Linked DNA regions of Drosophila melanogaster. The protein of the gene in region 3 interacts with the protein of the main gene of each other region in a pairwise test. Each region holds a gene or a part of one and is shown on either strand. Other genes may lie near its edges.

Region 1 (3,329 bases), on a different chromosome or scaffold from region 3:
AAGCTCGTGCGGCATATTAATCTTATCAGAAACTTGTCAACAGTCAGCTAAAGTCAATCGGATCGAGCCGCATCCCTGCTGACAAGATATATACATTGTTCTCGGACATCGCTTGTAATGTCTCACTCGCCTGGTCGCATATATATCAATATATTGTACCATTGAGGTGAAGATCTGCGAAATAAAGGGATAAGATGGAGATTTTGTTTAAAGCTCTTATTTTTCACATGCCCATGCGAAAAACCTACCTTCTTAGAAGTGGATATGTTGCACAAATAGTTTCCAACAGCTCTTGGCAAGCTTATTTACACTCATGATCAATATATATTTATCTCCACCAAAACACGACTATTTCACAAGACTAGAACAGATTGGTAGGATCTTTTATCATCGCTGACAGAAGGACACATCATAAATGTGAGGAATTTATAATGGGTTTTTGTTGCCCAGTCACGCGATGATCTCCGCTTGATGGCTTAGAAACCGACCATCAGGCAGAGCCAAGATCTATAAAAAAATTCCCAAGAAATACGTATAAGTATGTATGCATGAGCCAAACCCCTGCGGATTCCTTGGATCGCACTCTAATGATTTCCTGCTTAGGATACTGGGGCTCACCCATAAACCCAAATATGCTGCCGCTTCCCAAGAGCTGTCCCCCTGCCGTCCAATGATTAATGCGCCGATCCTTGTCCGATGCCGATGAGGCGAGAATGGGAATTATGTATTTGGGTTAATGTTACACCGCAGAGCAGCACGGCTGGCATTGCTTTAATTTTGTTTTAACACAAAAATTGCCAAGTACCAGTATTTATTTGATGTGCGCAATGCTGCGATCGGAGCTGTGACTTCGCCTTGGACGGCAATTTCCTTCCGTCGTGGTGGAGCCGCGCATCTTGATCGCCGGGTTCTCAGGCTGTGGCCAGAAAACTGGAATCCCAGAGAACCGATACCATTGCCGACGACGATGCCAGTGCTGCTGGCCATTTCAAAATCTAACTGTTAACTGCAAAAGTTGAACGTACTAGCAGCATGCAACATTCAACGGCTGCACCCACGGCATCAGCAGCATTAACGGCAGTACACTTGAAAAAATATGTTTTGAGAAGGAAAATTATTTCCTATGAAAAACTAATAATATATATGTTCTTAAATATAAAAGCTTTTGGAAAATGTAGAAAAAGTTTATGTTGTTTCTAAATACTTTTGGAATTAATTATTTTTCTGGAATACATACACACCGAGCCAAATATTCTTACACAAAAATCGATTAAATTGAAGAACTCATACATCACTTTCCTCAGTGTATGCAACTGCATCTGAGCGGGCAGCGAAACGAGTTGAAAGCCGTTTTCCCTGTTTGCCAGCCAGCTCTTGAAAGTGGTTTGTTGTCTAACTGCGTTAGTTGCTGCTTTAAATTGTGCGCCCAAGCAGCTCCAGCGGCGTTTAATGGCTCCAACTGGCGACCGGAGACCTCGGCTTTAACTGGCCACCCCGCCACCGACTTCTGTTTCTGTTTCTGATTCCGAATCGGATTCTTTTTGTTGCTGCAGCGGGTTCTCAGGCGGCGTTGGCTAAATGTCATAGCGGCGGATGCACCGAGCAGATTAATCATTAATCACATGCCCATCTGAGAGTACGAGACTTCCAATATGCGGAAATTACTGGCAGCTAGCTGTAGTATCCATATGCCCCATTCCCACCATCCCCATCACCTGGTGGCCGATCATTTCCGCCGACGAGTTGGGTTCCTTTATTTTGCCTTTATTTTGACACTGGGCCAGCAACGGCAATTACTGGCGGCGGTGCCACCGAAAACCCTCCTCCCTTCCGCCCTGATTTATGAGTTTTTAATGAGCGGCCACTTTACACGAATTCAAGTTAACAAGTGGAGCCGCGTAAGAGGCCAATATCGCAAGTAGTATCGCCGGCAATCGCGCCTTGACATTCGAGTCGTGCGAAATGTCAGATGAAGATGCACCAATGATACGCTCAATGGGCGTTGGAATGCACAATACCCTAACTAAATCTGAAAGAATATGTCCAGTCAAGGGGAGTGTACAATTTTATTTCCATTTTCTCTAACGCTTTTCAAATTAATCATTTAGGGCTGCCACATCGAAAGGGTTGCCAAAGCATGTCGATACCTACAGTTATCGAAACTGAAAAATAATATCTCGGTGTGTAAACACTTGACAAAACGTGACAATTGGCTACGCGCGTCGAAAAAAGAAAAATAGATTACATTGAAATAAATCCCACGATATCTAAAACCAAACGGAAGATGCCCAGCTCCACTTTGACGTCCTCTACTGCTCTTCCGGTGAAGCAACGAAATGGATTTGATCTTGGACTCGAACCGTTGCGGATCTTAGGAGCCTGCAACTGGTCCGGTAAGCTGACCTTTTTGATGCAGTGGAAGGGTTGCGACGAAGCCGGCCTGGTGCCCGCCGAAGTGCTCAACGTTCGGTGCCCCCAAATGGTCATCTCGTTCTACGAGGAGCGTATTGTGTTCACGGATGAGGGCGATGAAGAAGACTTGGAGTCGGACAATGGGTATGAGACCACTCCGAGTCCCAGGAAGAAACGATCACGAAATGCCTAGTCCATAAAACTATTGTGCACCGAAGACATTGCGGTGCAATGTCAATAAAGAGTATTGACTCTTCTGCCACGAGTTTTTCTTCATTTTCTGGTCGCCGTTGTCGCTGGTGATTGATTATGCATTTTCATGCGAACTGGTTGCTGATGCTGCACTTTGTTGGCATGCGGGCAGGTGAATAAGTGAGTTTAGCTCGGCCCAGCCACGCCCTCCGCCTCCTAGACGCAGCTTGATGTTGGAGACAGGCCGGCGGCATTATCTGCCGGGCGCGAAATTATACGTGTATGTATACACCGAGCGAAAAGTCTGTAGGGGTATTTGAAAGTTCATAAAAAAAACAGTTCATAAATGGTGCACTTGCCTCATTAAACTTTTTCCAGTGCACTTAATGCTGTCAGTGACCTTCACATCGGGGCGTTGGAAAACCTGCAATTAGAAAAGAAGGTTAAGCCGCAGGATCAGACTCAGCTCTCAGATTCCATGTTGCAGGCGCCTCAAGATTCACGCAGTCAACTAATACGTACATAAAAAAAAGGGTTAAATTGGTGGCGCACCTTTCTTGCAGCGACATTTTGACATTGAAAAAGTATAATTAATTGAGGGGCCCACCAGCAGGTGGGCGTGGCCAGGGGCAGATTAAATCGATTTATGCAAGATTTATGGCAAAAGCGCACAAGAAAGAGAAGAAGCGAAATAAAATGGGGCGCCGCCTGGCATTTCGAAATCA
Region 2 (7,409 bases), 4.7 Mb from region 3:
CATCACTGGTTCATTCAACCTTTCAGCAACGAGGAAATAAAGAACTGAGGAAAGCTCTTGGCCAGCTGGAGAAAAATCTTTTTGTGTTCTTGTCTGTGCAAAGCTCTGTTCCCTCAGCAAAAGATGAATAGTTCAAGGATAGTTTATTCATTGCAAAAAGTGAACATCTGTGACAGTGGGAAAAACAATTTACGCTCATAAAGTGGAAAGAAAAATGTCCCTTTTATCAAACTTGTCACGTTTACTTGAAATATTTTAATTAAAACTCAGTATTAAGTTTAGTCCTATTGTGTTTGATATTACCTTAAGTAGTTTTTCTCAGTGCATTGCCCTATTTCACCCACATTTCACTCGCTTGCGTTTGGTTTTTTGGCACAGAATTCTGTTTTAAATGGGCCAGCTAATTTCCCAAAGACACCTGGTGCAAACGGCCACTAAGCAATCCATCCCGCTCATTTTGGCCCCTGAAACTTTGGATATCGAGTGTCACGGGCAACGTCCTAGTTTTCCAAACGTCCTGAGTGCATTGCATTTTGCGGCACATGCAATTTTAATAAGAGGAATTCTAAACGCACACATTGCGGTATAACAGTTTTGCTGCGATTACCGCTGTTTCGGATTAAATTTCAGTTAGGTTAAGTGTGATTTGTAGGCACACGCAGATTGCTAGCCAAGATTGGAGGCGTTGGCCATTTGAGGCCCCACGTAATGCGTTAATAACAGAGCAGCAAATCGAGTTAGCGAATCGGAACACAAAAAATAACATGAAAGAATCGTGGGAAGAGCCAAAGTGGCGCCCTCTGGCGTTGACCCACAATATCGGAGGGGTTTCATTTTCCTTCCATGTGAGCGTGTGTTTGACATGGAATTTTTATGAATGACATTGACCAACCACCCAAGAAGAAGAAGAACTGCTCACATCCCCCCGAAGGAAAGAGAGAGCCAAAGAGAACGAAAGAATTCTCTTACGACGCCTCACCGCAACAAATACGACGAAAAAGTGCTAACCAAGCCGAAAAACTGTTATAAACAACCAGAAGACAAAAAGCACATTTTTACGATTTTACGACCTGGCAACAGACGAAAAAGTTGATAAACAAAATAACTAGAAATATCTCAAAAGGCCTTCTTATCAGCTGCGTGTCGAATGCATTTTATTATTTAGGCGAGCCAACTGTAAAGATAATGCGCGGATTATACAATGGTCGGCGCCTAAAAGGCGGCAGACAAAAGTAACACTTTCGCCCGAACACGCACTTAGAATGACAGTAGAACTTCCCTAAATGAAACTTACAGTTTGGGAGTTGCACTGTTATTATTAAAAATAATTAAAAATATAAAATATAAATATAAAATATAAAATATAAATATCTACTCTATGGAAGTGATTTGCCTTGATATTTTGAAAAAGCATTTAGCAGTGCATTTGTTACACATTCGCTACAAGAGTAGGAAAAACATCCGTATGTTCAAAATCTTTAAAAGTGTCTTTAAGAAAATGTAATTTCCGTGTAAGATGTCCTGCAAAATTTTGCGTAGCTTCTGAAAAGTAAAAGTTAACCTTTAACCTAAATCGGCAGTAAAGAGCAACAGTTTCTGCGCTCTTTGGTTTAGGAACGTTGTGCAGTATAACAGTTTGAACAATTGCTGTGGCCATGTGGCAAAAGGCGGTTACCGGTTTTTCAGGCTTTACCTTTTCAAATTCAAATCAAAGAAAAGCAAAGATGATAAAAAGAAGGGAGAAAGACAAAAAGACAACCCTTGGGCAAACAAAGAGGGGTTGTTTGTCTTGGCTCTCCCTATCACTGCCACTCTCCCGCTCTCGCGGCTATTTGTTTTTGTTTCAATCAGCTGTTTTTTGGGGACGAGAGAGCGCGAGTGGAGCTTGCGCTCTGTGAGCTTGAACTTCAAATGCAACAAAACGGGCGACAGAGCGAAGGAGAGAGGGCGAGTGTTTTTACAGAAACTTAGAATTTGTCTTTGTATATCGTATAACAGTCGCTATTTGCTGCCGTTACGAGGAATTTTCATTTTCATTTCGCAGCGGACGGCGCAGCAGTTCAGAACAAAACTCGGGGAATTCAAAATCGGAATCGGAGATTGTTATTTTTCGCCAGATTCGCAAAAAGCAAATGAAAATGTCGCCCAAATGCAACTGCAGCTAAAAGTTATCGAGTAGTGTGTGTGTGCCGCCGAGTGTGTGCGTGGTGTGCGCTTTTTATCGATCACACTCCGCTCTTCTTCCTCCTCCTTTCCACCTCACCTCCCCACCCCATACCAACTCAGACACTCTGTCACGCTCTCCAATCGAATTTCAAAGCTGAAAATCGAAAAATTATACAATTGCATTCGCAAATTACGACGTACACACGTACGTACGTACGTACAGCACCCCCAAAAAAGCTGAGGAAATCACAGAAACGCAAAATCAAAGTCAAAGAAAAATCAAAGCAAAGAACCAGCGAAAATCGGGCAAATTTAAGGAAAACAAACATTTTCTAGTGACCTCAGCTGCAGCTGCAAGTGCAAGTTAAAAATACACAAACAAAGCGGAAATAAGCGAAAATAAAGCACAAAAACCGCAAGGAAAATAGTAACGGTTAAGTTGAAACCAGCACAAAATAAAGTCAAACTGTTCAACTGGAGCTAAAATATTAATAAACCAGGCCAAAGGCAGCACTCGTCTAATATTTGCTTAAATACAGGCAGCCCACGCCTTTTATCGCTAGTGAATTTATGAATTTATCAAACTAAACGAAAACAAAAACTCAATAACAATTGACACACACTCACACAAAAGCCAACTGCAGTGGGAGAGCAGCGAAGAGCGAGCTTGCAAAGAGCGAGAGTGAAGAGATAAACTTGGGCTCTCTCCTTCGCATTTGGCATTCACACGCGGGCAGCGACGCCAAGCGGACGTTCCTCCTCCTTCTTCGCCCTTCGCACTTCACACTTTCTAGCCCACTTTTTCAACTCCACCAAAACCGCGTGTGTGCCCGGGAACCCTAACCCTTCGTCCCGCCAACATGGTGGATACAAACAGTTCAAATCCGGGAATCGTGGGTGGAAACTCCGCCTCGTCCGCCAGGCTGAGGAGATTCGAGCGGACGGACAGTGAGCTGGCCTGCGAGGAGGCGGCCAGGCTGACGGCGGAACAGAGTCCGGAGGACGAGGACAATCAGGACAACGACGAGGATGACGACGACGAGGAGAGCGTGTACGGGGAACTGCCGCCTCCGCCGGACGGAGGATACGGCTGGGTCATCTGCTTCGCCAGCTTCATGTGCAACATGATCGTGGACGGTATCGCCTACACGTTCGGCATCTTCCTGGAGGAGTTCGTGGCCTACTTCCACGAGGGCAAGGGTACGGTGGCCTGGGTGGGCAGTCTTCTGTCAGGAGTCTACCTCAGCGCCGGACCTATCGTTTCCGCCCTGGCCAACAAGTACGGATGCCGAGCCGTCTGCATAGCCGGGAGCATAATCGCCTGCATAGCCTTCGTCTTGAGTACGTTCAGTACCAACGTGAGCATGCTGATGGCCACCTATGGCTTCATGGGGGGATTCGGGTTCGGCATGATTTATCTGCCTGCTGTAGTGGCCGTGGGCTATTACTTTGAAACCAAGCGGAGTCTGGCCACAGGAATTGCGGTCTGCGGCTCTGGCTTTGGCACCTTCGCCTTTGCCCCGCTGGCCACCTATCTCCTGGAGGAGTACGGCTGGAAAAACGCCCTGCTCATCTTTGCTGGCCTGATCCTCAACTGCGCCATCTTCGGAGCCATGATGCGGCCACTGACCTACCCGAAAAAGAAGAAGCAGAAGCCCTTGATGCAAAGGATGTACGAGGAGAAGCAGCTGCAGCTGGAAAGGGGTTCCTTTGCGGGCTCCCACTTCATGGTGCAGTTACCGGATGGAACCATCGAGCGGAAACTGAAGATGCCGCTCAATGCGGATCCCGGTGTGCATTCCAGCTTGAATCTGGAGCTGCTGGCCCAACAGGCAGGCGGCGGAGGTCTGCATCCCGTCTCTACCCTGCCCACCATCACGGAGTCCAAAGTGGTGGATGTTCATCGACAGAACGGCGCGCAATCTCCACCAAATGGCGACAGCAATGGCCAGTTATCCGCTCGATCCGCCGCAGGTGCCGTCGGCCGCCGTCCTCACAGGAACTCGGAGTCGGAGAATAGTCCGTACCACTCGCAGGATGCCATGACCCGGAACGCATCGCAGCCCGCCTTCCTGGCCGGAGATCATCAGAGTTTGCCCAAAAACGGATCCGTGCCGGCATTCAACACGCGAGTTAGGAAAACCTCCGCCTCGGAGCGCTTCCAGCCTTCGCTGGCCGCCATCAGGGCCACTTCTCGCGGAGATTTGGAGGCAGGAGCAGGCGGTGACTTCGCCTCCTCGAAGTTGTCGCTTTCACAACGGCAGGGCGGCAGTCAAACTGGAAGCAGCGGCAGGATGGTGCGACCCATGTCCCGCAAGGATATCTTCTACTCGGGATCCGTGACGAACCTGCCGCAATATCAGTCCCAGAAGTCCTTGGCCAACTACAGGAATTCGGTGCTGTCGCTAACCAAGTACGAGAAGAGCATGCAGAGTGTGGCTAAATTGGATCCCTTGGCCGAGGCTGAGAAGCATCGCGAGGAGTATGACCTGTGTCCCTGCCTTGGCATTCCCGATTCCGTGAAGTCCGTGGTTAACACCATGTTGGATGTTAGCCTTCTGAAGGATCCCGTCTTCATGCTTATCGGAGTCTCGAATATTTTTGGCATGGCCGGACTGTACGTGCCCTTCGTCTACCTGGTGGATGCGGCCAAGGAACACGACATACCAAAGAACGATGCAGCCATGCTTCTGTCCATCATTGGCATCACCAACACCGTGGGCCGTGTCTTCTGCGGCTGGGTAGCGGACCTGCCGCAAGTGAACTCGCTACTGCTCAACAACTGCTGCCTGCTGGTGTCCACCATAGCCGTGACTTTGACCCCATTGTGCTACAGCTACGCGGCCTACATAACCATGTCCATATTCTTCGGACTGGCCATCTCGGGCTACATCTCGCTGACGTCAATTATCCTGGTCGACCTCCTCGGCCTGGACAAGCTAACAAATGCCTTCGGACTGCTGATCCTGTTCAGAGGATTTGCCGCCCTGATCGGAACGCCCTTGGCGGGAGCCATCTACGACATGACGCACACCTACGACCTGCCCTTTTACATGGCCGGTGCGTTGTTCGGCATCTCCACGATAACCAGTTTCCTGGCGCCCTGCTTGAAGAGATGCAGTCCCTCGGAGGAGACTCCTGTGCATGTGGAAACGCTCACACCCATCGACGAGGAGCAGGGCGAAGATGCCGAGGACGACGAGGATCAGCCGATCACCATAGTGCCCAAGATCATCAAGACACTGGCGAGTCCGCAACAGGAAGAGGGACATCCGCAGTTCCCCCAGAAGACAAGCGAATCGAAGCTCTAAGGAGACTTCGATCGGTTGGAAAGGAGAGAGAAGTGAATTTACAGGGGGCAGTGCGGAGCTTAAGAGGATCCGGTGAGATATTTTTCTATTTACTTATACAGCAGAGGAGGAGGAGATCAGAGATCGAGCACACCTATATACAAAGTGGAGAAGACGGATGGATATATATATAGCCAGCCCCACACCATATATACATATATATATATATATACCTTTAAGCCTAGGCAACAGCGGAGGATGAAGTGCGGAAAATTCACTTTTCTACCAGGAGAACTCAGCTTAGCTTTCGATAAGATATAGAGAAACCTTCGGCTATATATAAAGTTATACTACGCTCATAAATTAACGATCGAAAACTGATACCGATCGCTGGTAGATTGCAACTGTTATACAGCAACCACAAAATATTGTAAAGTAAATTCTATTATTATTATTTGTTTGTTAAAACCTACGATTACTATAATTACCATTATGATTACTATTAAAGATTATTGTGTACTTCTAATAGTTGTTGGCCAGGCGTTATAAATGTGTCATACCGTAGCGATATAGAGATAGAGCGATACATAGCGTGTGTGTAAACTAAAATGTAACTAAGTAGAGGTGGCCCGATTAACTTAAAGAGCGGCAGCAGCAACTATTTCGAGAAATAATAAATTGTATATTTTTTAAGAAAGAACGCTACACAGCAAAACTCAAAGGCGAGAACACAAAGGACCGCAGTAAGAACTAAAATTGTTTTCAATTTTACACTAATCGTTTAGGTGGCAAACTCAAATACAAATTTACGGCTCATTTTTGTAAGTTACTTACTAAACTAAAGTCCAGCAACAGAAAAACCAAGAGTAAATGATTTTTAAGGCTTGTGTATGTCCGTTTTTAACTATCCAAACATATAGCCTAGTAGCTACGAACCATAAGCAATACGGCAAGTGCAGTTCTATACAAACGAAATTGTTCACGCGGCTAAACTAATTAAACAGTATAATATGTACCACAAACAATATTCTAAATCTGTTTTACGCATAAGAACGGGGCAACAAACAGTGAGCAAGTGGGAAACACATCAATGTAACATTTAGAACAATAAGTGTTGAGAAGGAATGAGAAAAGCAGCCAGAATAGTAATAAAAGATATTGCCATAAATTTTAAAAACCGTCGAAACCAATGCGTTTTTGTGGGTGTATCTGGGGTATATGGATAATGGCTTATCAGAAATGAGTTCATTAGAACTTTTCTTCAGTAAGTTTTTCCCTCGTGACCTTCACAACGTTCGGGGAAACCGACAGACATGGACTCAATGGACTGCGCTCTATTTGAATAAGCGTAAGTACTTCTATCAAGAGGTAGCTCGTGAAAGCTCTAGCACAATTATAATCTCCCCGGGGAGCGTGTGCCGCTCTAAAAGACATCGATCAAAAGTTTGCCTTGGACTTAAGTTAATGCATTTATCAAAGAACGTGAAACCCCTTCGATGTCGCGGAAAATCAGATCATAACAAGCTTACTCGTAAAACCCTCGACCCAAATGATTAGCCTAATCAATTTGCCACGATGAGTTATGGCTTCACTAATTGTGGCCGACCAGAGGAATACTGTAGTGTGTATCATTCTCTAGTCAGTGGACAAACACTTGGCGATATCGCCATATGAAAGCCGTCTGCAAAGCCAAGTGCTTCGAAAACAGCCATAAAAGAAAAACCTCTCGACTAGACGGTGCTCGTTGAATCAACGTAGATACAGATACGGTTATGAAAACAACTGGAACCCAATCAGTTGGCAAGACCTCCTCCATTTCGTGAGAGATTCCCAATTCCCATTCCATGTGCATTCAAACACGAGAGGCAATTAAAAAAAAAAACAATTAAATATCTCTAGAATAACCATAAATCAATCAAAATCTTGCAATCTACTGTGTTAATAATCAATGAA
Region 3 (4,890 bases):
GTGAAGCCTCGAGTTGCCACACAAGTGACTAGTGGCGAAACTAATGACAAACAGATACATACGATGGTTGATTTTGCACAGAAAAAATAAATCATAAATTCATTAGATTAATAGATTAGTATTTCTGCGTAAAATGTACTTGTTTATTAAGCTAATTTAAATGATCATTTAATTTTCTGATCAACATCTAGTCTGCGCTCAACTAAGCTTTGCAGTTCAACTGACCTGTTGAGCGTTGATTGGTCGGTTGGCAGCCAAGTGGGTTAGAAAATGCCAGGGTCACCCTTTGACTTATTGCATCCGCCGACGGACCACAGAGCGTATGCGCAATGCGGACTTTTTCTGCAAGTAGCTGCAAACGTGAGCTGCATTTTCGCCAAATCAGTCTGCACTGCATGATGCATAAGCAATTTGCAAATGCCCCGCCATTAATGTGCAATTTTAAAAATTATTACCGTCTGACAGTCGAGAGGGAATCGCATGCAACGTGATCGGTTTCGACAATTGTCAGCGGCTTGACATTTCCCTGAAATAGTCCACAGTAACGTTCGTATCTGCAAGATACAAGATACACCCGTACCTACTTGCATACATACTTCTGTCTTGGCAAGGTGTGAATGGATCTGTGTATCCGATATGGTTGGACAAATAGAAATCCGCCTCAATCCGAATCGCGAAGAGCTCTAATGCCACAGTCACGACACGCTAATAACGCAAAGCCAAAACAAATACCATATCTATATAGACTGCGCCACCGCCGAGTACTTTGACTTGTTCAACTTGTTTTCCCAACCATACCATACACCATATTTATTAAGCATATATATAGATATAAAAATAAAACTATTAGATCCCCTGGCGTAGTGGTGTTGTTGTGTGGGCTAAATTGTAATACAAATTTGCATAAATTGCACCGTACATTTTGCATTTGGCATTCAACAGTCAGCATCCGCATCAGCCATAAATGATTTGTGCGGTTCCATTCACGCGAGGGTTTTCCCCCTTCCATCATTATCGCCTTGCCAGCGGTACAGTGAAAGCAAAAAGTTATCTAACAGGCTCAATTCCAGTGCACACTTCCACTGACCCAATGCAAAAAAGCGGCAAACCTGATTGGCTGACATATAGACACCAGTTAGTGAAAATAAAAAACAGCTAAAAGATACCCTGTTTATGGAAAATGAAAATAATGTATTTGTATAATTATCTGTTTTTGCTAAATTTTAATCGCTTAATGACTGCAGACCGAGCCATTAGAAAAACCCATTAGGAATAATGCTCAGTGCTGCTGAAATCTGTAAAGTAATTATCATTAATATGTACTGAATGCAAAAAGTGAACTAGAATTACCTTTATTATGATGTTCTATTATGGGACAGTGAGCATAACAACCATTACTTTATAGAGCCAATAGTCTGACCTTTTCTATAACAGAGTTCATCTATCAATGAGTTACCTAATATGTCAGTAGCTCTGTCTTAGCCTTCACAATCGACCCTTGGCCAAGAGCTTTCCCTTTTGTGCAGTATTTGTTTACCTTTGCGCCATATGTGTTAGGTTTTCACCTTAAGTATTATTAAGCGACCCCACACACAACTGCAGTACAATCTCATTAACTTTTTGTCTTTTCTTGTTTTTATGTATTTTTACCTTGCAATGTGTGTGTGTGTGTGTGTGTGTGCACAACACTCGAAACAAAAACCACAAAAATCGTTTTTCTTTGGTTTGGCTGAAAAATGTGAATGCGAATAACCGAAACCCAAACCATTCCCGAAACCGTGATTGACAATATGAAATTTTCTCTATTCCCCCGCACTCGCCACCACACAAAAAACGAACCAAACACTCAAAACCAACCACAGATGGGATTTTTTAACTTTAATCATCAGGTTTGTCGCTCAAGTCTTTTGTCTGCACGAAAATCTTCACAAAAAAAGTTTAAAAAAACACAAAACGCAAAAAAATTAAAACCTCATCAAGTAGAGTAGAGTAGAGTAGAGTAAAATAGAGTGCCAGGCGAGCCATTCACTTCCACTTCACTTCGCCTGGTGTTGATGATGATGATGATCACTCACTCACTCACAATTCACTTTCGCAACTGCATTTTGGGGCCACGCCAGCCACGCACGTAGAGGTGTTAACAAAAAACATTGCACATTTCAGAAAAAAAAAAGATATAGATATAACCGAGAAAAAGCCGCCTCACCTGACTGCACCCACACCCGAGACTGCCTTTTCTCTTGGGCTTGCCACTTCCTCAATTTTGCGGAGGGTTTCCTCTTGCGCAACAAAAAATCTTCAAATGCGGAATTCATTTGGCTGGCCTAACTTTTTTGTGGATACTCCCTATGCTGCGGCTTTTTGCATCCACTTGTAAATTTTTGCACCTTACGCGGAAAGCATTTGTTGTGCACATTAGTCACGGCTTCCCACTGCTGGCAAAGGCAAATATTTGCGATGATCTAAGGCGCAGTTTCTTCTCGATTAAAGCACTTGCCAAAAACTTAAATGCCTTTAACAATCACTTATTGTTCATTACCTTGGGTCTCATCTTATAGCTGACTGTTTGGCTTTTTAATGATTAATGCCGAGCAACCTCTGTCAACTGGAAACAGCACTTAAAAGCCCATTGATAATAAAATATTAATGAAATTGCATGACCCATCCTAAAACAGTCGCAACTGAAGTAACCCCTACACATTTTATGTAAATAAGTTATTATCACTCACAAAAAATCACAAATTATGCACCCAGCACTTCTTTGAAATTCTCGAAAACTTCGACGTTTTGAAGCGAAAAACGCGCTTGACCATGCTGAGGTGTATTTTGTGGAGTAAGGTCGTCGCTTTTACCTTACCCCCAACAAAAAAAAAACCGAAACACAGAGAGGTCATAGGCAAATGAGCACGTAGAAATATTGAATTGCAAACACAAATAAAAACTATGTATGTTCATTGAAAAAAACCGCAAAGCTAATGTGATTTTCTGTACCATTCTAGGCCTACAAGCGCCAGGCGAATTCGGTGAAAATCGCCAAGATCACCGCCTTCACCATCATCGTGTCAGCCTTCATCCTGGGATCCTTCATCCTGGCCTCCTCCTACCTGCAGGCCAAGGCCTCGTGCGATCAGGTCCAGGCCCTCGACTCGGTGCTGGAAAAGGAGCTAATGCTTGAGACTTTGCAGCAGGTGGGCAAGGTGAGTTCGCGAAATATGTATTCCAACCGATATGCCAATCCGTACAATCCGTTGTGCTTCAATGATCCGTTGCCATGGCAGATTAGTATCGTGCTCTATGGGGCACTGAATTTTAAAAAATTATAGAGTTGGCTAATAATGGCTCGCATCGTTCGACTGCACACGCTACGGCCTGAAGTCGGACTCCCAAAAAAAAAAAGTTCGAATATTAAGCAAAATTAAATATAATTACCGGAAAATGTAGCTATAATCTGTGGTAGCCGAAAAATGTTCCCCCTTCGTGTGGACCTGCTGTAATTTCCCTCAAAATGTTGTTGACTGCACGCGCTATTAGTTCCATGGGATCGCAGACTTTCGACAGGCACTGTATGCGGTGTGTGCATACACGAAATGTGATATTCACATGTTAGATATATTACCTAAAATCGTAACAAGAGCTTCTCATTAGGCAGAAATTTAATTTGACGCCAAAAGAAAACAAAAGGAATTAGTATTAACTGTAAAGTAAATAAATCAGTTGCTTTATATTCATATAATTATAAAACCAATCACAAGATAGACATATCTGAGTGGAGAGTAAATTACTTTTTTCCGTAAATCACTATCACTTTGGAAATTTATTGGGAAATATCGATTTGCAGTAAATCTAAACGTTTCCTAGTCATTATACTTATACAAATATCTTGCCACATAACTGCCAATTCAATCAAAAGTGATTGAATAAGCACCTAGCTCCAAAGCAATTTCGCATATTCACATGTACATAACAGCAAAAAAAAACAAAAAAATGTTCAATTGTATGCTTCCTTGAGAAATTTCACGCATGTAACCATAACCAAATGGCAGTTATGAAAAAAAGTAACAACTTTATAGACACAACTTTAGGACTATGGATATAAAATGGCTGATTGATGATTGGATGACTGGGCAAGGCGCGTAATTCAAAGTTAATGACTGGCGGTCCAATCATTTGCATTCGTGTCATCAATATTCAATTAGCCGATATGGAAAGTGCAAACTGAAGCAAATTATTCACATAGCATAGATATGCATACATATATGCTCTGATCAGGTTATTCAACCCGCTGTGCAGATGGCTTATGTAAACGAATGAGCAAACAAACGAATCCAGCGAATGCAACGATAAATTCAATCAAGCGAAATTCCCATAATTTGACGCTTAAGTGGACACCAAAATGGTGGAGTTCGCATTTGGAGCTCGCAGCTTGGAGCTTGCGACATAATAACCAGAGAGCAAACACAATTGCGAATCAAATGCCAGACGAAGTGAAAGCAGCATTCGGTAGTAACAAAACATGTTGCAAGCCACATACAAAAAGATACAACAAAAATCCACTGAAGCGGGCGTGGGCGCAGCAATTGTTGCTGCTGCGGCTGCTGTTGCTGTTGCTGCTGCTGTTGTTGCTGCTGCTGCTGCTGCTGCTGCTGCTGGGGCATCCAAAATGCCAGAGATCATCAGCTGGAAAGAGCAGCTGCCACTAGAGATGGTCGGAAAATCGTGAAAGTGATTTTTACCCCATGCAACAAATGCAATTGTTATGTGATCAACCAAAAAGAGCCAAACCCTCTAAAAAACTACGCCTTTTTATAAAGCCTCATTACTGCAGTATATGATCCCAATTAATTTGATTGTGCGGCGAGTTAATGGATAAGAGTGAAAGCTGCCAATAAC

The links.
Region 1: the proteins of Msr-110 (region 3) and HP6 interact in a two-hybrid assay, tested with the Drosophila melanogaster proteins (one large-scale study listed by BioGRID).
Region 2: the proteins of Msr-110 (region 3) and CG13907 interact in a two-hybrid assay, tested with the Drosophila melanogaster proteins (one large-scale study listed by BioGRID).

Annotation. Positions count from the first base shown.
Region 1 is NT_033779.5:4,577,059-4,580,387, reverse strand, and holds HP6 (heterochromatin protein 6), read left to right. Parts: upstream 1-2,169; 5' UTR 2,170-2,284; coding exon 2,285-2,605; 3' UTR 2,606-2,669; downstream 2,670-3,329.
Region 2 is NT_037436.4:876,521-883,929, reverse strand, and holds CG13907 (uncharacterized protein), read left to right. Parts: upstream 1-1,916; 5' UTR 1,917-3,026; coding exon 3,027-5,477; 3' UTR 5,478-6,639; downstream 6,640-7,409.
Region 3 is NT_037436.4:5,571,939-5,576,828, reverse strand, and holds the start of Msr-110 (Msr-110), read left to right. Parts: upstream 1-1,682; 5' UTR 1,683-1,742; coding exon 1,743-1,889; intron 1,890-2,999; coding exon 3,000-3,197; intron 3,198-4,890.